2 linked regions of the Neodiprion lecontei genome follow. The protein of the gene in region 2 interacts with the protein of the main gene of each other region in a pairwise test. Links are inferred from orthologs where the notes say so. Each region holds a gene or a part of one and is shown on either strand. Other genes may lie near its edges.

What was found.
Region 1: the proteins of protocadherin-like wing polarity protein stan (region 2) and frizzled-2 interact in binary tests that used the Drosophila melanogaster proteins (3 or more experiments, as listed by UniProt). The link is inferred for Neodiprion lecontei from reciprocal best matches to the Drosophila melanogaster genes stan and fz.

What each region holds. Positions count from the first base shown.
Region 1 is NC_060261.1:11,922,790-11,931,074, forward strand, and holds the start of frizzled-2, read right to left. Parts: upstream 5,328-8,285; 5' UTR 5,101-5,327; coding exon 3,927-5,100; intron 2,467-3,926; coding exon 1,946-2,466; 3' UTR 1-1,945. Other genes in the region: uncharacterized protein LOC107217846, read left to right, coding at 7,589-7,670, 7,841-8,285. UniProt on the Drosophila melanogaster protein: Receptor for Wnt proteins.
Region 2 is NC_060263.1:37,739,920-37,747,891, reverse strand, and holds the start of protocadherin-like wing polarity protein stan, read right to left. Parts: upstream 4,666-7,972; 5' UTR 4,272-4,665; intron 938-4,271; 5' UTR 823-937; coding exon 1-822. UniProt on the Drosophila melanogaster protein: Involved in the fz signaling pathway that controls wing tissue polarity. Also mediates homophilic cell adhesion. May play a role in initiating prehair morphogenesis. May play a critical role in tissue polarity and in formation of normal dendrite fields.

The sequences.
Region 1 (8,285 bases), on a different chromosome or scaffold from region 2:
ATTATGCTAAACCATAACTAGAGCTGCATCTATGTACAGGATATCCTATTGCAGCATAAGTTTTCCCATTACACTTAAAGGAAATTCTTACGTACTTGTATTAACTTATGCATAAGATCTAATTCTCTAAAAATATTTTCCGCCCAGAGAAAAAGAAGAACCATGCGTTTTTCAATAATAAAAAATTTCAAATTGATCATCCAATGACAGCAATCGCAAAAAAAAAAAAATGCAAGGAAAAAATTAACGATACTCCAAAGATTGTATTAAGAAATCTATAAAGATTCGTTAGAATCTGAAAAGGTCAGAAGAATTGGGATCCATACTATGGGTGTGAACAAAAGCAACATGGCATCGCAGTGAGCGATCAGCTGTTCGTTTCGGCCCCAGTTTAAGCAGAATCACATGGACGTTAAGAAATAGAAAAGCCCGTAAAAGCGATTACACTTTTATTTTGTCACATTGGGATGGCAGTGTAAAATATGTGTTAAAAAACTACTTTTATCATTAAATACAACTGGGTTAGCCTCTGTGGTACGTTTCCTGCCAGAAGATGGAATCTTTTGGTATTTTGGATCCCAATATAACTAAGCCTTCGATAATTAACGAATGACTAACTCTCAGCTCAAACATCACCAAGTTTTCGGTACCAAGAGCTTTATCTTTTCATGTATTAGGGCTATGCGATTAATCGATTGATCCTAGACTTCGATTAATTGGTTTTTTCCCGAATTAATCTTTATTCAACTTCATCAAGCATCCATGGTATTTACATGCTCGCTTGATCCTCCTTTGCTCTTGAATTTGGGTTTGAGCTACATCCAAGATCCAAATATCAGCATGTAACGAGATAATTGAAATAGGAGTGAAAAGTCACTCTCGAAATAGATTACGGTATTCTGTAGCAAGTCATAATTTTGACTTGTGCAAATCATTCTATAAATAAATATTGAGATTCCGGCATTTAATAATTAATTGTCATGGTTAAAATGGAATCTGTTGCCGCGATACTAAATATACAATTAATTCTAGTGAGTTTACATCTAAACAGACAATAAATGTGTTTGTTAAAGTGATTTTTATCACCTTCAACTTGTCTATAAAGACGATTTACGTTTTCGGAAAATGTCTTTTCGACAAGATCTCCAAGGAGTGAAAACGTGTATTTGAAAATATTATTCATATAATTTATCCTACGGAATTTCTATGTTTCTGTTTTTATGTCAGCAGTCAGGAAAAGTCAGATCTGTGCACAAACTAGCTTCTCGCGAGTTTTAGTCCATCAACTCTTCAAGTCTGACAATGATGGATACAAGTTACAAGTATGAAAACACTAACACTTATAAAATATGCTCCAGTACAAAACCTTACGGGCAAATCCTTGAAGATAAAACTTTCGCGGAATTACGATGGTGAGTTTAAATAACGTGCAATGATAAAATAACATTGTGTTAAACCTAGTGGTAAAACAAGAAAAAAATTAATCAGACTTGGTTAGGTAATAGCTGCTAATTATTTCACATATTAAAGCTACCCTTGTAAAAAAAAAGTGGCACGGGAGAGAGCGATTTTTAATCAGATTTTTTTCGAAGTTCTACTGCACTTATAGACAATAACGAATCAAACGTCATTTTGTCTTGTCGAACATTATCATGAAATGCGTACAACTTACTATCGTTGTACACACTATATCAAAGAAGTAAACCGCACCAGCTTGTTATAGATATTAAAAACAAAATTGCGATGAAAAATACTCGATATATGTATAAAAATTGACATGATTGTTGCATAGAAACCACTGGGAATGAATAAAAAAAATCTTGTTCAAACAGCAATGTTTGAATGACAGTGAAAATGAAAGTAAATGAAAATGAGAAAATATAAAACTGGTTTGATTTTGATGCGAAGTTATTATCAAGAGTCATTAATAGAAGGAAATGAATCTTCAAACATAAGCTTCGGTTCGCCGTCCCTGAATGCGGTTGAAAAATTGCCTCCAACTAGTCAGCGTCTTGCTTGACCAGACCCAAAAGCTACTGGTTATCCCGACAATCATTGCCATCAGATACTTGATCATGAAGACTTCAAATTCCGGACGACGACCAAGGTCGCGTGTTCGTTCGCCAACGGGACAAGGAATTGAGTACTTGATGCATTTTTCCGACCACCAATTGAGCATCCAATGATCGAAATAGGCTTGCTCGTAGAATAAACAAGCAATAACTATCAACGCAGGCACTGTGTAAAGCACAGAAAATATACCAATGCGAATCATTAGTTTTTCAAGCTTGTCTGTCTTAGTTCCGTCGTGTTTCATTACTGTGCGAATGCGGAACAGCGATACAAATCCTGCAAGGAGAAACGCCGTTCCCAGTACCAGATAGACGCACAACGGCGCCAACACAAAGCCTCTCAGTGCCTTGACGTTCCACAACCCCACGTAACACACTCCGGACAAGATATCCCCTGAAAAATAAAACAAAAATTTAATTATTGCGGCACGACTTTAGCATTACAAAATGCCAAAATACAAATTTGTATCCCCTCACTGACACGGGCTTAGATACGGTGAATTCAATTTCTCTGTTTGGATTTTAGGATAATTTGCACTCACATTTCACGGGATCTTGTGAGAAGATTGCATTTGTTCTGATATGCTAAAATCCACTATAAATATAAAAATAAGTGCACAAAGAAAGAATTTATTGAAACTGCCAAATGAATTTAGATAAAATGTAATAATTGTCTCAAGCTACGGAAGTTTAAAAAAATTGCTGGGCTGAATTCAATAAAACATAGTTGGAGAATTAATTAAGAGGTATATAAGAGTTGCTGAAAAAGTGAGTGTAATGAAAATGAATTTTCGCTGATTTGTGGAAAAACTTTGATATTGCTTGAAAATTTGTTAAAATTTTTCATAATTCTAGCTTTTTTAAAAATATTTCTTGAACTGCATTTTAAACTAATCACAACTGTTTTAAAAAACCTTTTATTAGATCTGAGCAATCCACCCCCGTCTTCTATTACGTAGTACTATAAGAACATAAGCAAAATACCAGAAGTCGGGGTTTCTTTAGTCTAGTGATGCAAAATATGTTCTGAACAAATATGAATTTTCTCTCTAAATTGGGCCAATTATCATCTCCAGCTCGACTTGATTAAAAATATTGAAAAAAAAAATATGAAAATTCAAATCATTTCAAATTTTTGTTACACAAAAAATTTCCGAATGTCTACTCAATTTAGATTTGAAAATTCTCAGTTTTTTCTCTGTTTCTCTAACTTATCATCTTTACATGTCGCGTTTCGCATACTGACCCTGTTATTCATAACATAATTATCAGATAGATAAATACTGATAATCGAGTGAATGCAGCAGTGAAACAAACAACTTGAAAAAAACTTATAATTTACCGTAGCAAGTAGGAACAATTGTGAACAACTAATTTATTTAAATTATAAATTGTGATTTATCAATTGAAAGATCTCATAGAACACCATAATTTACGAAATTTTTAAGAAGATCTGCATATATTTCCTAATAAATTTCCAGACATTTGCTTTACTTTTCTATACATACAAAAATCTTGCAACAGTTCCCAGTTTACATGGTTTTGATTGGTCAACGTGTGATTTCTAAGAATTCTTTTTTCGTTAGGAGAATAAGGAATAATATAAAATTTTTGAATGAAGCTGACGCTAGCAGCCAGGGTTCGCAGCCTGCAAACTTGCCGTTTTTATTAAATTAAAGCAGTCAGACTCGGTGATCAAAATTTTGTCACTCCTCATGTAAAGATACTAATATCAGAAAATCTTAGAAGTGAACATTATTAAATTACCCCATTTGTAACAAGTTTAATATACTTGGCTGCTAACTTTGACTGCTAATAACAGTTTCATAGATTCCAAGGCCTATTGATACTTACCCTCGACTTTCCCCATGGCAAGAATGGTGATAGTTTTGACGGCAGGAACAGCCCAAGCAGCCAAATGAAAGTACTGCGAATGAGCCTCGATCGCTTCGTGCCCCCACTTGAGTCCAGCAGCAAGGAACCAAGTAAGAGTGAGAATGACCCACCAGATGCTGGAGGCCATGCTGAAGAAGTACAAGACCATGAAAAGCACGGTGCACAATTCGTGCTTGGTCCCCTGCGTGACGGTGGATATCGTCTCGAACCTGACATTCAGAGGCGGAGAAAAGGGTTCGCGGCAGGAAATGGAGTTGCCTGCAGCCCATCCGACGACATAGACGAGGGCGACCATCAGATAGCAAACAGAGAGGAAGATGATTGGCCTTTCGGGATATCGAAAGCGGTCCGTGTCAATGAGGAAGGTCAGAGCGGTGAAGAAGCAGGAGGCTGCGCAGACGGAGGCCCAAGTGCCAACCCAGATTCTAGAGAAGCGGCGCTCTTTTGGAGTAAAGAACATGTCGTCGCAGGGTGCGCCACAGTTCGGCTCTGTGACATCCCCTACTTTAAGACTGTAGCCAAGGTCGTGAGGAACCTGGAACTGCATAGAGCAGACAAAGCCAAAGTCTCGAGCGCCGAAGAGGTCACTGCCATCGGATGGCCGGTTATTCCAGCCAGGATGATACTCTGCTCTGGGACCTTGGGACTGCGGTTCGATTGGTCTGGAAGGCTCGGTGGATGCAGTATTGTTGTCACCAACACAGATTTCGTCGTGACCGAAAACAGGGAACTTTGAGCACTCCAAGTTGTCCGGCCAGAGGAAGCCGAAGCGATTCATGAGTGACTCACAGCCAGCTTTTGCACTCTCACAAAGAGACCGGCAGGGCCGTATTGCCTTCTCCAATATCGTGCAGACCGGAACGTACATTGAGCACAGAAAGAATTGCAAGTCTGGGCTGCACTTTACCTTGACCAGTGGGAGGAATTGGTGTACCTCGAGACCCGCTTCTTCCTGCTTCTGGTGGCTCATCAGGTTCGGCATGATCGTTTCGTTGTACGGAATGTTCATGCACATCGGTATCGTTATCGGCTCGCATCGCCCATGATGTTCAAGGGGGTCTCGCGCGTGAAGCCCAAGACTCACGTTGACGACGTCCGCCACGATCAGGTACGCAAATAGAAGCGACAACATATTTAGACGCTTTTGCTACGGCGATCAGTAATTCGGAGTGCGAAAACCAACGACTGTGCTTAATATTTCCGTACGTCATACGCGGACATATTTCACTTTACTCCGAGCTATCAATATCGCTCACTTTATTAGCTGCATTTCTTTTGTATGTACTTAATCCCGTATGCATAAGAGTTCACCATAAACAATGCAAGGATTGTAAACAGACCCTTAACTACGAGCATACACTGAGAAGGGAACGACTAGCGCTTTGCTAAAATCAGTTTACCACAGAGCATATACTACTGGAGGTAGTATACACCCAGTGGTATGCACCCATTCCAACGACCTTGCAAAAAATGCGGCCGATGTGATGAGAGAGAGAAAGATATCCTCGGGTTTCTCCGTCTATTTCACTTTGCATTTAATTCTGTGGTAATAGAATGTCATCCGGTCTCAAATAAGAAAGTGGAAGTGGAAACTTGTATCACCCTATGGTATCACCCCGCTGCACGCGAAACTACCTCTTGTAGTATGTGCTCTTAACGTTTACAATCAACCCTACAACGGCTGCCACATTCCCTAGAAGTTAATCGTCTTTAAACTTTTGGACACGACAGAATTTACAGTTGTGCTTGTATAATCGCTGGAAAGGACAATTGTGATTTCTATCACTTCCAAAATTTTCAAACAATTTGACTACTCTATCAGTAAAACTAGAAGATTTTTGAAAAAAAGGGTCTGAAATGAGACCAATATGGTGGGTAATATTGCTGTCCGATGTAAGGCCGGATCGCCGGAATCCGCAGTAACGGAACAGAACGCAGACGAGATCTAGTGGATTTCTGAGTCCGTTCCGGGTTTTGAAAAATCCTGCCATCCCATATATATACCAAAATTTCATGGAACGATGGAACGATGTAGATTCATATTTGTGCTATTCGGGTTCATTTGTCTGTTTGGATAAAGATTTTGCATCACTGTATACAATTTATTTAATTAGGTCTTATGTCAAATTCATTTTTGTTCATACATGTATTTAATTATTTCATAAAATGAAAATTGACCCTCCGGAACTCTGTTCCGGAATTTGGGTACATGGGAAGCACTCACGATTAATAATCGCACTGTGTACAAACTCTTCTTTCGTATTTGTATATATACTACTCCTGCAGCGCTCGAAACAGAATGTTGTAATATGCGGATACTGGACGAATCCACCATTCCGTAAAAATAAAACGCGATAAAATTACTGGAACGCAGATTTTAGTGACTTTTCCGTCCATTCCGTTCCGTCGTTGCGGATTCCGGCGATTCGGCCCTACGTGGGGCAGCACCATAAAGCAGACCTGCTTTTCAAGAATCTTTGCAAAGGATATATTAGTGAGTGGGATGCATCATGGATGTATTCGAGCTCGAAGATTGTTAAAAACGGTTAACCTAATGGGTTTTTGTGTGTTTTATGAGATTGTAGATTTAATAGCTCCCGCCGATAAAGAAGCCACCGATCGCTGATACGGCTTCTTGTGGTCGATTAAGTCTCGACTTTTTTTTTTAAATGCTCCGTTATTTATATTATTTCCTTCCTTATAGATTTCAAAGAAATCAGCGAAACACAACTGCCTATATATCAGCTTTTACGGCTTCATCTGCCACGACCGTTATGATATTCTGCCCTCTGCATATGTTAAAAAGGGGAGCTTTCCAGCAACGACACAGAGCGACACAGTCGGACACAGCTGCGGAGCATGGTTGGACACTGTGTCGGATTCATTGCTGCCAATTTTTTAGTTAGAGATTTTATTTTCGACGCATGGTATTGTTTATATTTATTTATTAAATGCAATGATAATCTGCACGCGTTTCACAAATGTTTTTTTTTTCCTGGAGCGCTCAATGATCCTAGATTTTTCGTATAACGCATGAGCGGACTCTAGTGACTGAATTAAGAACCTCAGAGCGTTCCAACAAGCACCAAGGCACAGTGTTCGACCGTGAAACACAGTGTCACACTGTGTCTCCTTGCTGGAAAGCTCCTAAGAATAGTGTATCTACTATTATCGACCGGACACCACAGCATCTGTTGACTGAAGATTTTTCAGTCACGCAGTAACGTCTTTGCTTATTATGTGAATTATCCACAGACATTTTTAACAGTTTTTAATTCATTCTAGTCGTCATGCGCACAAGCACACGAATCAAATAAGCCGCATAACTTCGACCAATGATATTTTGATGTATCATCGGCGCAATGATGATAATAATATCAGAACACTAGAAGTCCGACAATCGGCGTGAACGGTTGTCAAGGTTCGTCGAAACGTATTCACAAAAAACAAATCATTTAGAATTCTCAAAACGTGTTCTTTCACATTCAAGTTTTTCAATTTTCGGACTCATCAACGATTACAATTAAATATACACATTTGAATGCAATTAAACAAGTAAAGAACAGCGTTCGGCAATTTATCTACACACTTAAGTACCACGAGTGAAAGTGATCATCGGTATGGCATTGAAATTAGGAAACTGTGCAAAAGGGGGATATTTAAATATCCTACAAACGGCTTTATCGCGTCATAAACACACAGGTCTCTGTTCCGTTTCAGTATCAAATTTTGTTTTTATTGTTATTGTATTTTTATTTTCCCAATGCATGGATTGCAGAAATCTGCAAATGATTGACACCTGAATCCTTAATATAATTATAAAGTTGTAAATTTAAGTGAACATAATTATCACAGTAAAACTCAATTTTCAGCTGTACTTAGTGGAGATCTAAGAAATAGCAATGAAAACAACCAGAAGAAAAGTCTGCATGCCTCTGCAGTAAAGTCCTACCCATCTGCTCCCACGATACCGCTACCCCAGAACATGACCCAGATATTTGGAAACGAAACGGGTCGTTTCACTCCGGAGAGAGCACGAGATATAACGGGACCTATATTATTCTGCCAGGCAAATGGGCCGGCAACTTGTTCCAATACTAGATCAGAAGGTCTTAGTCTTGGGGACTGCACGACCCAAGATAATCCCGAACACTCGTACACTGATTCGTATGATTGTACTGGCGCCGTGAGTCTCAATGGATCTATGCAGAGCAATGTTCCGCAGCCATTTTCCTCCGAGGGTAAATCTATGCACCTCAATATGCCCGGCGGCATATGGTCCAGGGATGATAAATACATCGCCTATGATATGCAGAA
Region 2 (7,972 bases):
GTCCTTCTCCTCGTCGACGTTGGCTAGGTACAGGGGCTGCTCGAAATAGGGCGACTGGTTCCGCAACTCCCTTCGCACCCTGCGGCCGAGGTCCGAGTCGTCGAGCTGCTGGTGGTGGAACACTACCTTCAGTCTGTGCTCCGCGTCGGCCAGATGAGGCGAACCGCACTTGAGCCTCATGGAGACCGATATCTTCCAGAGAGGATCGACCAGGCATTGCTCAGCGGCCGATACCAGGTCGCCGGCCGCACCCTCGACCAGAAACCTTGGGTCCCCGACGCCGCCCCACTTGGTCTCGCACTCCTTGATGGCGGTCAAGGGCAGGAAGTCGCTGAGGGCTGCAACGAGCTGCGAGGCCCTGAGACAGACCTCGGTGAATCTGTCGTTGCTCGGCATCGCGTAGGAAGCAAGAGTCTCCGGCATCCAACCTTTGGTCGCAGCTAAGTCTTGATTCTCCCCGCCGCATCCCGTGATTAATACTCTTAAGGGTAGACTATAATAATCTATGGTCGGTCGGCCCAGTCTTGAACTCGTTGAGTCTATGTAAAAGGTGAAGAGTCGCGGGTATTGGAGGCCCTCACAGCTCAGAGTCTTCGCCAGCGTTACTCGACCCGTGTGCGGATGCACCTTCAGCAGCTTCCTCGCGAACCATGCTGTCCTGTCCACCGATGCTTCGTACTTACGCTTACCTCCGAGCTGAGGCACTCCGGCCTCGAATACTACGGTTCCAGGTTCTAAACTCGACGACAATACCGCCAAGTAGCCTTCCGCGAGTGGCCATAGACCAAGAAGGCACAGAAGTATCCATATTGCTCTTGCCATGTCACGTCGCGGTCCCGATACTCTGCATCATATATTTGAACATCTTATTCCTCTAGTCTCCATTTTCACTCCGAGCAATGATCCGCATTGTAATTATCGCGTGCCGATTCGATATCTGAAACAAAAAGGATGATCCAACGTCATTCGAGTTATCCTCAAGTCTCAGGATCCCTCGTTAACGTTATAGTGTAATGACTAAGGTACAACAGAGTGGTTAGCATTCTACTGTGGTCTTGTTTGTTTCGCCTTTGTTTCAACTCGGATGAACTTATCTCTGTTCCAATTCATTAGTTCTACATTACACGGACGGTGTAAAATGGACATGGAGAGACATGTTCATTTAGAGATTGGTTCGACTTTCGCATTCAGTCTTCCGAAAGAGTTGGTAGGTGAAAACCGTTGAGTCGTTACAAATGGAATAAAGTTGGTTAAGTATTGTGGGCAACGAGGTATAACATATGGATACCGCACGCGTGATGCGAGTAATAAAATTATCGTGCCTGTGTGTCGAACGTACACCTCTACCGGCGAATCTCGCGTGTTTAGGGAAATTTACGACTGCAAGACGACGGAATAACGCGCGCAGCGGGGAAAGAAACGACTTTGAAAGTTTTCGGTTTACATGCGAGGTTCGGGTGTAGCATGGGTGTTGGGCAGCACCTGCACACGTATAAAAACTACGAGGATGAGAAGAGACGCGTGGGTATTATTTCGACGGGTCGAGTGACTCCGGTCCGAAACACGAAACGAACGAAGGGAGAGGAGGAGGACTTTGGAACTATTAATTACGAAGGAGGCGGCTGACTTGTATGGAATCCGGTCCGTCCAATTATCTTAGGGCCGCTTGGCTGTAACTTTTTCGGGATTTAGGGTTTCGGTGGGTTTTCTCGCCCCGCCGAATCGACGAGTTTATTAAAACCTTCGCCTCCTCTTCCATATCCTGCACCAATGGACGACGCGCTCGCGTGCACCGAGTGCACGATTCGCTGAACATTTCAGATTTTCTTTTTCTCTGTCTCAACGTATAATCATAGGGGAAAAACTCGTTTATGCATTATACAAACACCCTGCAACGCGTCGCCGTGCAGGCTAGACGAATAGCAGGTGGAAACTCGGACTCTACCTGCATCTCAAATACGTGAGTATATTTACGTAGGCGCATATTACTATACGAACTTGGAAGCCTGTTACGCACATAAAGGCTTTTCTTTTTTTTTTTTTAATTAACACTTCTTTGATTTCGTAATTTCGCATCTGTGTTGTACAAATTCTAATACGTAACATTGATTAGCTATGGATTCCGAAAAGCGTGCGATTTTACCGCTGAAAAAATGAAGTCGAAAAAACTTAATCGATATTCTAGCAATCCTGCTACTGAATTCTTCTCGTGACTGACGTGAAAGCCAGACGGTATTTTAGCGATTTTTAAAGAGCAGAGTGTCGGGAAACAAAGATATGAAATATGTTTAGTAGCAAATGGTATTCGGGTGTCGGCGCGGTTATACTTTCATTTAATTATATCTATATCCTCCAACGTTAAACTCAACGAGTTGTTCTGCCGGTGGTGGTATAAACAGCGAGCAGCAAGCGAGCGGGAGCTGTGAATAAACATGGATAAAAATCGTTTCTAGATTAAGTTTCGAGGGAACAACTTTATAGGAGAACGCTAATCGTCGGTTGGAGGAATAACGTTCAGAGGAACAGGTTTCAGGCGTATAAATTCCCCCGTGAAACGGCGTGGCCGCAGTTTTAAACCCTTCATCGGTATTAGCATATCAGTTTATTTTTTATTTATTTTATTTTTTTATCGCATACTCATGCTGAGCTTGAACGTACGTTTAAATACAGACATGAAAAAGGTAAGATTCTCGAAAGATATCTTAATCGCGTTTTGCTCTCGCTATCATTGCTACATTTCTGTAATTTCTCTCAAATATTCAACTCCTTGCTACCATAGTTTCGTTATATTACTCGCTTTCAACACACATCGCCGGGAATATTTAAATCGCGCACGCATATACGTGATACGCATTCAAACAATGAAATGTGAATACCCGTCGTTTGCTGTACCTTGTATGTCATGTGAATTCTATGTATATGTACATCTACGCTCGTTTCACCCAAGCGCACGCGGGTTAGATATCGGACATGGCTCTGGCTACACGCTACAAAAGAGTACCACCACTTCAGCGAGGGTGAGTGACTCATGTATTGCTCCGACGTCGGGACGCCGAGCGTCGAAATATCGATCTTCCTCCCTCGAGCGAGCCAATGAACGAGGGATGCGTCAACGGCACTCGCCTCGCATCGCAAATCCCAACTTTTATCGCACAAAAAAAAAAAGAAATACAAAGAGAGCGCGAGGAAGGGTGAGCGTTATTGTATTTTTTTTCATTTGCCTCGTATCGACAACTCGCAACGCGTGCCCAGAATTTGACGAACCGGATTTTTTCTCTTCGAATTTCGCGCTCGTTCCCCGTCGTTGCTCAACTGTTTTATTCCAAATTTCTACGAATACGAAGGCTACGCTCATCTGCCTCTGCGTGAAACGAATACCGGTTCCTGACGTTACAGTTGCCTGCACCCTAGGCGTTCTACTACAGCGATACGCGATACCTACTCGTCAAATAAACTATATCAAGGTGGAAGGAAACACCTCATTGAGCTATGCCTACGGTAGTGGCAAGCAAGGATCGGGATCACGGCACGGCTCGTCGCAACGGAATCACAACAGAGCGTAAGACATCATCTCTACGCGTACTATTTTCCACGCATCGATCACTCACTTTACCGCTCGGGTAAACGAATCGATGCAAATTTCGACTTCTCTGGGCTAGGCTAACGGTTGTTTACTTTTTCAATGCTATGCATTTACTCATTGAATACATAGAATACCCACGGCACGGTGCATTCCCGGCAAGCGCAATCAGTGTTTGAAATTCACATTGTCCTGCAGCGTGTGAAATATTGTACCGTTGATTATGCCTTTCTTTCCTACTTCGAAATCGCCATAGAGGAATTCAATATTTGACCATATACCTGTGCAGAAGTTTTGAACCTTTAAGAACGAAAATAAAATCTTTATAATCCATCGGTTAAAATGAGTCGCGTGATTCGAATGGAATGTATATAACGCATGCGGCGTCGATCGACTTAAAAACAAAAGACGCCCGTTTTTATACCGTGCTAGTAAATAGCGAACGTTAAGAAAGCAAGTAGGTGCATAGGGGCTTTGTGCATCCGGTTGCAGCAGGCGCGTTCGTATATTCTAGTTTCGCAGGATCATTATCCTCGAGGGGAACGAGCCCTGTACGCAATTAACGCGGCAGGTATTTTTTGTCGTGGGAAAACGGAGGCGGCGGGGTTCGAGTCCCGGACGGTGAGCGCGTACGCACGAATGGCACACACGCCACTGCACGCATAAGATGCCATTCAAAAAGGTCACTCACCGCCCCCTCAAGGCCGTCCAAGTCCTGGCTTGTGTCGGGTCAGCTCACATTATTCCTGGGGACGAGAATTCGCGCCGTTGATAATTTTCCACAACCGGGAAAAATCCGCGATTCGAGATTTCCGAACGAAAAGTGCACGCTGAGAGACCCTCTCTTCTCTCATACACCGAGCTCACTCCCCGCTCATCTAACGTCAGGTCGTGTTAAACCACTACACGCACTTCACGCACTACACAACCACTTGCCGCGACTCCAGCTCAACTCCCGGTCATTTCTTCTCTTCGTACACACGGTGCACACGCACTTCAAGACGGGGATATTCTACCTCCGTGCAGCACACCCGTCGAACGGTCATAAGATACCCTGGAGTACGGCCAGCCGATCCTGACGGAACGGCGTCGACGCACCTGGCGGCTCTGCGAACAACCAATGCGTGGATAGCTTTATTTTCGTTTGCAGATTCCTGCGTTATCGACGTACGCGGTCCAACGCCCAGCGGCTTGTTGCAGGCAACTTGTCGTTCGTCCCTGTATGCTTTGCCCCTTGTACGTGATTACAGATTGCTTAACAATACCGTCAGATCATTCTCATCAACGGCATCGTTAATCATTATTCTCGAAATGATGAATTTTAATGCTATGAAATGACAGTCAACAGGTATGGTTTGGATGGCCAAGATTATTAGGAATTGAGAGTTACATTTTGCACGACCGTAACGGTTTTGTTGTCAATTTGTGTGTGGTGTTGCGTATTTTTTAGATACGTTTTTCTCGTTAAGTAACCGAAAAAAAATACTGAAAACGTGAAATTTGACAATCAGCGGTAGCAGAACGTGAATCAACACATTTACAATTAGTGCGAGCAGCCGTTGACTAATCTATATAATTGCTTTTGATGATCGGCAATTTGAACGATTAGAATTGTTATGAAACATATAATTATGTAGAGGCGTTGACACACAAAAGATAACTTTAACCAATGGGATATCAATGTATGCATAATATTCATTTCCAGGGCCGGCGACTTAAGGAATCTCAGGATTTCGGAGTTCTTTCAGGTGATTTACGGGGTGAGGGGGATTCGACAAATATGGAGTTTTTGTTTTCATCACAAAATTTAAAATGAATAGATCTGTCTGAAATTCTTCACACAAGGATAGTACGTGTATTGAGAATAAGTTGCAACCTTTTCGCAGCGAAATCAATTTTCCGCGGAAGGTTCTTTGAACTTTCATATTTTCTCGGTACACATACTACCAAAAGCTGAAAAACTGCAGAAATATTGTTTAGTTGAATTCTTTCATTTATCTACAGAATAAAAGTTTGACTTACGTTAAAGTTTCACCGGCCTTTCGTTTTTTCTGTAAGAGCTAAATTAGCGTATTATCAGTCGGCATGGGGTTCTTCTACACTTCGTGTAAATCTAGCAGCAAAATTTTGAATTTTCAACAGGCTTTTCAGGGTATGAAATTTCCACTCCGTGAGTAATCAGGTTGTGGAGGTCTCTACACTTTCTAGACAAACGTCGCCAGCACTGTTCATTCCAATGTAAAATGCAAACACACACGAACATCGATCAGTTTGTATTATTTACACTGAAATGCGATAAGGCAAGTGCATGCATGTGTAATATAGTTATCATGCCTTGCTATATTCATACCCAGCAAGCATCAGAGACGGGTCAGTGTAATTAGCCGTAATGTCGTATAATTAGCTGTAATTATACAAGAAGACTGACAATTAGATTATTCAACCGGACATTTGAGAAATTTTCCACACAAAGCGCTGCTCACACGACGGAAAATATTGAAATATAATCGTTGTGGTGTAATCAAACTTATTTTAATCGCTCAAAACAATGAAGACGATGAATGTATTTGCTGTTATTACTTTTTGCGCTACTGCGCGGTAGGAAATCGGTAGGGAAGATAAAGTGCGTATTTCTTGTCTGAAATGTAAAAACTAAAATCATTATACATCATATCATTTCGTCATACATCATACATCGTACAGCATACATAGTATTAAAGTTCAAAACGAAAGTTCGGATGTTCAGAAAGTGACGTCACCCAAAATTTTTTTTCTCTTGATATCATCGATCTATACAGACGAAAATCAGCTAGTTGAATTCCTCAGTCCGGAAACAAACGCGCAGTAGAGCGGACGTATGAGAACCGCGCTCCGCAGACTTCGAGTACCGCATTCTCTACCTCCTGGATCCTGCTCTCCTGGTCCGCTTCCTTGTGCTACTCGAGTTCTAGGAAAAGCACTCCAGCTACGCTACCTGGTGAAACTCGACTTCCAGGACAAGCGCTCCTTAGTTTCTGCACTCAGGGTCCGCGACCTGGTGAAATTCGTCTTCCAGGACAAGCGCTCCAGGTCCACTACCTGGTGCAACTCGACTTTAGGGACAAGCACTCCGTAGTTTCTGTGCTCAGGGTCTGTTACCTTGTGAAACTTGAGTTCCAGGACAAGCGCTCCGTAGTTTCGGCGCTCCAGATCCGCTACATGGTGAAACTCGACTTCCAGGACGAGCGCTCTGTAGTTTCTGCGCTTAAGGTCCAGTATCTATAGGAACTCGACTTTCAGGACAAGCGCTCCGTGGTTCCTGCGCTCCAGGTCCTGTGCGTAGTCTTTCAAATCTCTCAGGACTAAGCTGATCGTTCTGTGGTATTTTTTGACGAAATTTATTGTCATAAAATCACAATACGTTATACCCACACGCATGTGCAAACGTGATTTGTAGCATTATATAGAAAAAATCTTACGGGCAGAATAATGAAGAATAAACAGTACATATAACTGTTTTGTACTAACGTAGGAAAATACAATATCCAAGTGATATCGAGGCTCATTTAGAATTTATTGAAGCAAAAGACCGTACTCTTAGCCAAGTGTAGCACACCTGTAGAAAAGTATCGATTGAAGTATAGAAAAGCGGAAGAAAGCTATGGGTATATTGAAAACAGCGCGAGAAAACTATAGAATTAAAAATTACAGGTTCAAAAAGTTTCACTAATTAACGAAAACTATGCGATATACAATAAGAACTACACTAATCGTTATGGTGCAGAACGCAGAGTATAAATCGAGGTGGATGAATTTTGGGAATTTGAATCTTCGCAACCAATTATTCAATTCTATTGAGGTTCGTTTTATTCATGAGTATGTAGATCGAGCTTCGTGTACATTTTTTTTTTTCTTGTTTATTGTTAATATCAAATAATAGGATAATCAATAGTATAATTGTTACTGACAATTTAATAACGGTAACCACTGAGATCAGTGACATAATTTGTGGTGTCGGCGGTGCATTTGTTCGACTTGATATTGCGGATTGTATTGACTTTTAGTTTTACTGTAAGCATCACCGTACGTCTGACCGATTAAAAAGCATGAAAGCAGCACGTATATACTGCTTATTAAACGAATATTTAAAAATATACGATTCTAGCTACTGTAATCTACTATCCGTGTTCTATATTTGAAATTGCAGTTAAAAAATATTCATAACAAACTTAACGAATATTTAGACAAACACATAACTTAATAATAAATCGAACAAATCTGTAATCAGAATCTAGATCTCGGAATTAAAAGTAGGAATGAATGACGAGTCGTACTTTTAAGGTAAACTTAATTAAATAAATATTTTGTCATTTATTAAAAATATGAACAATCTATAACTTTTCATTCAATTAA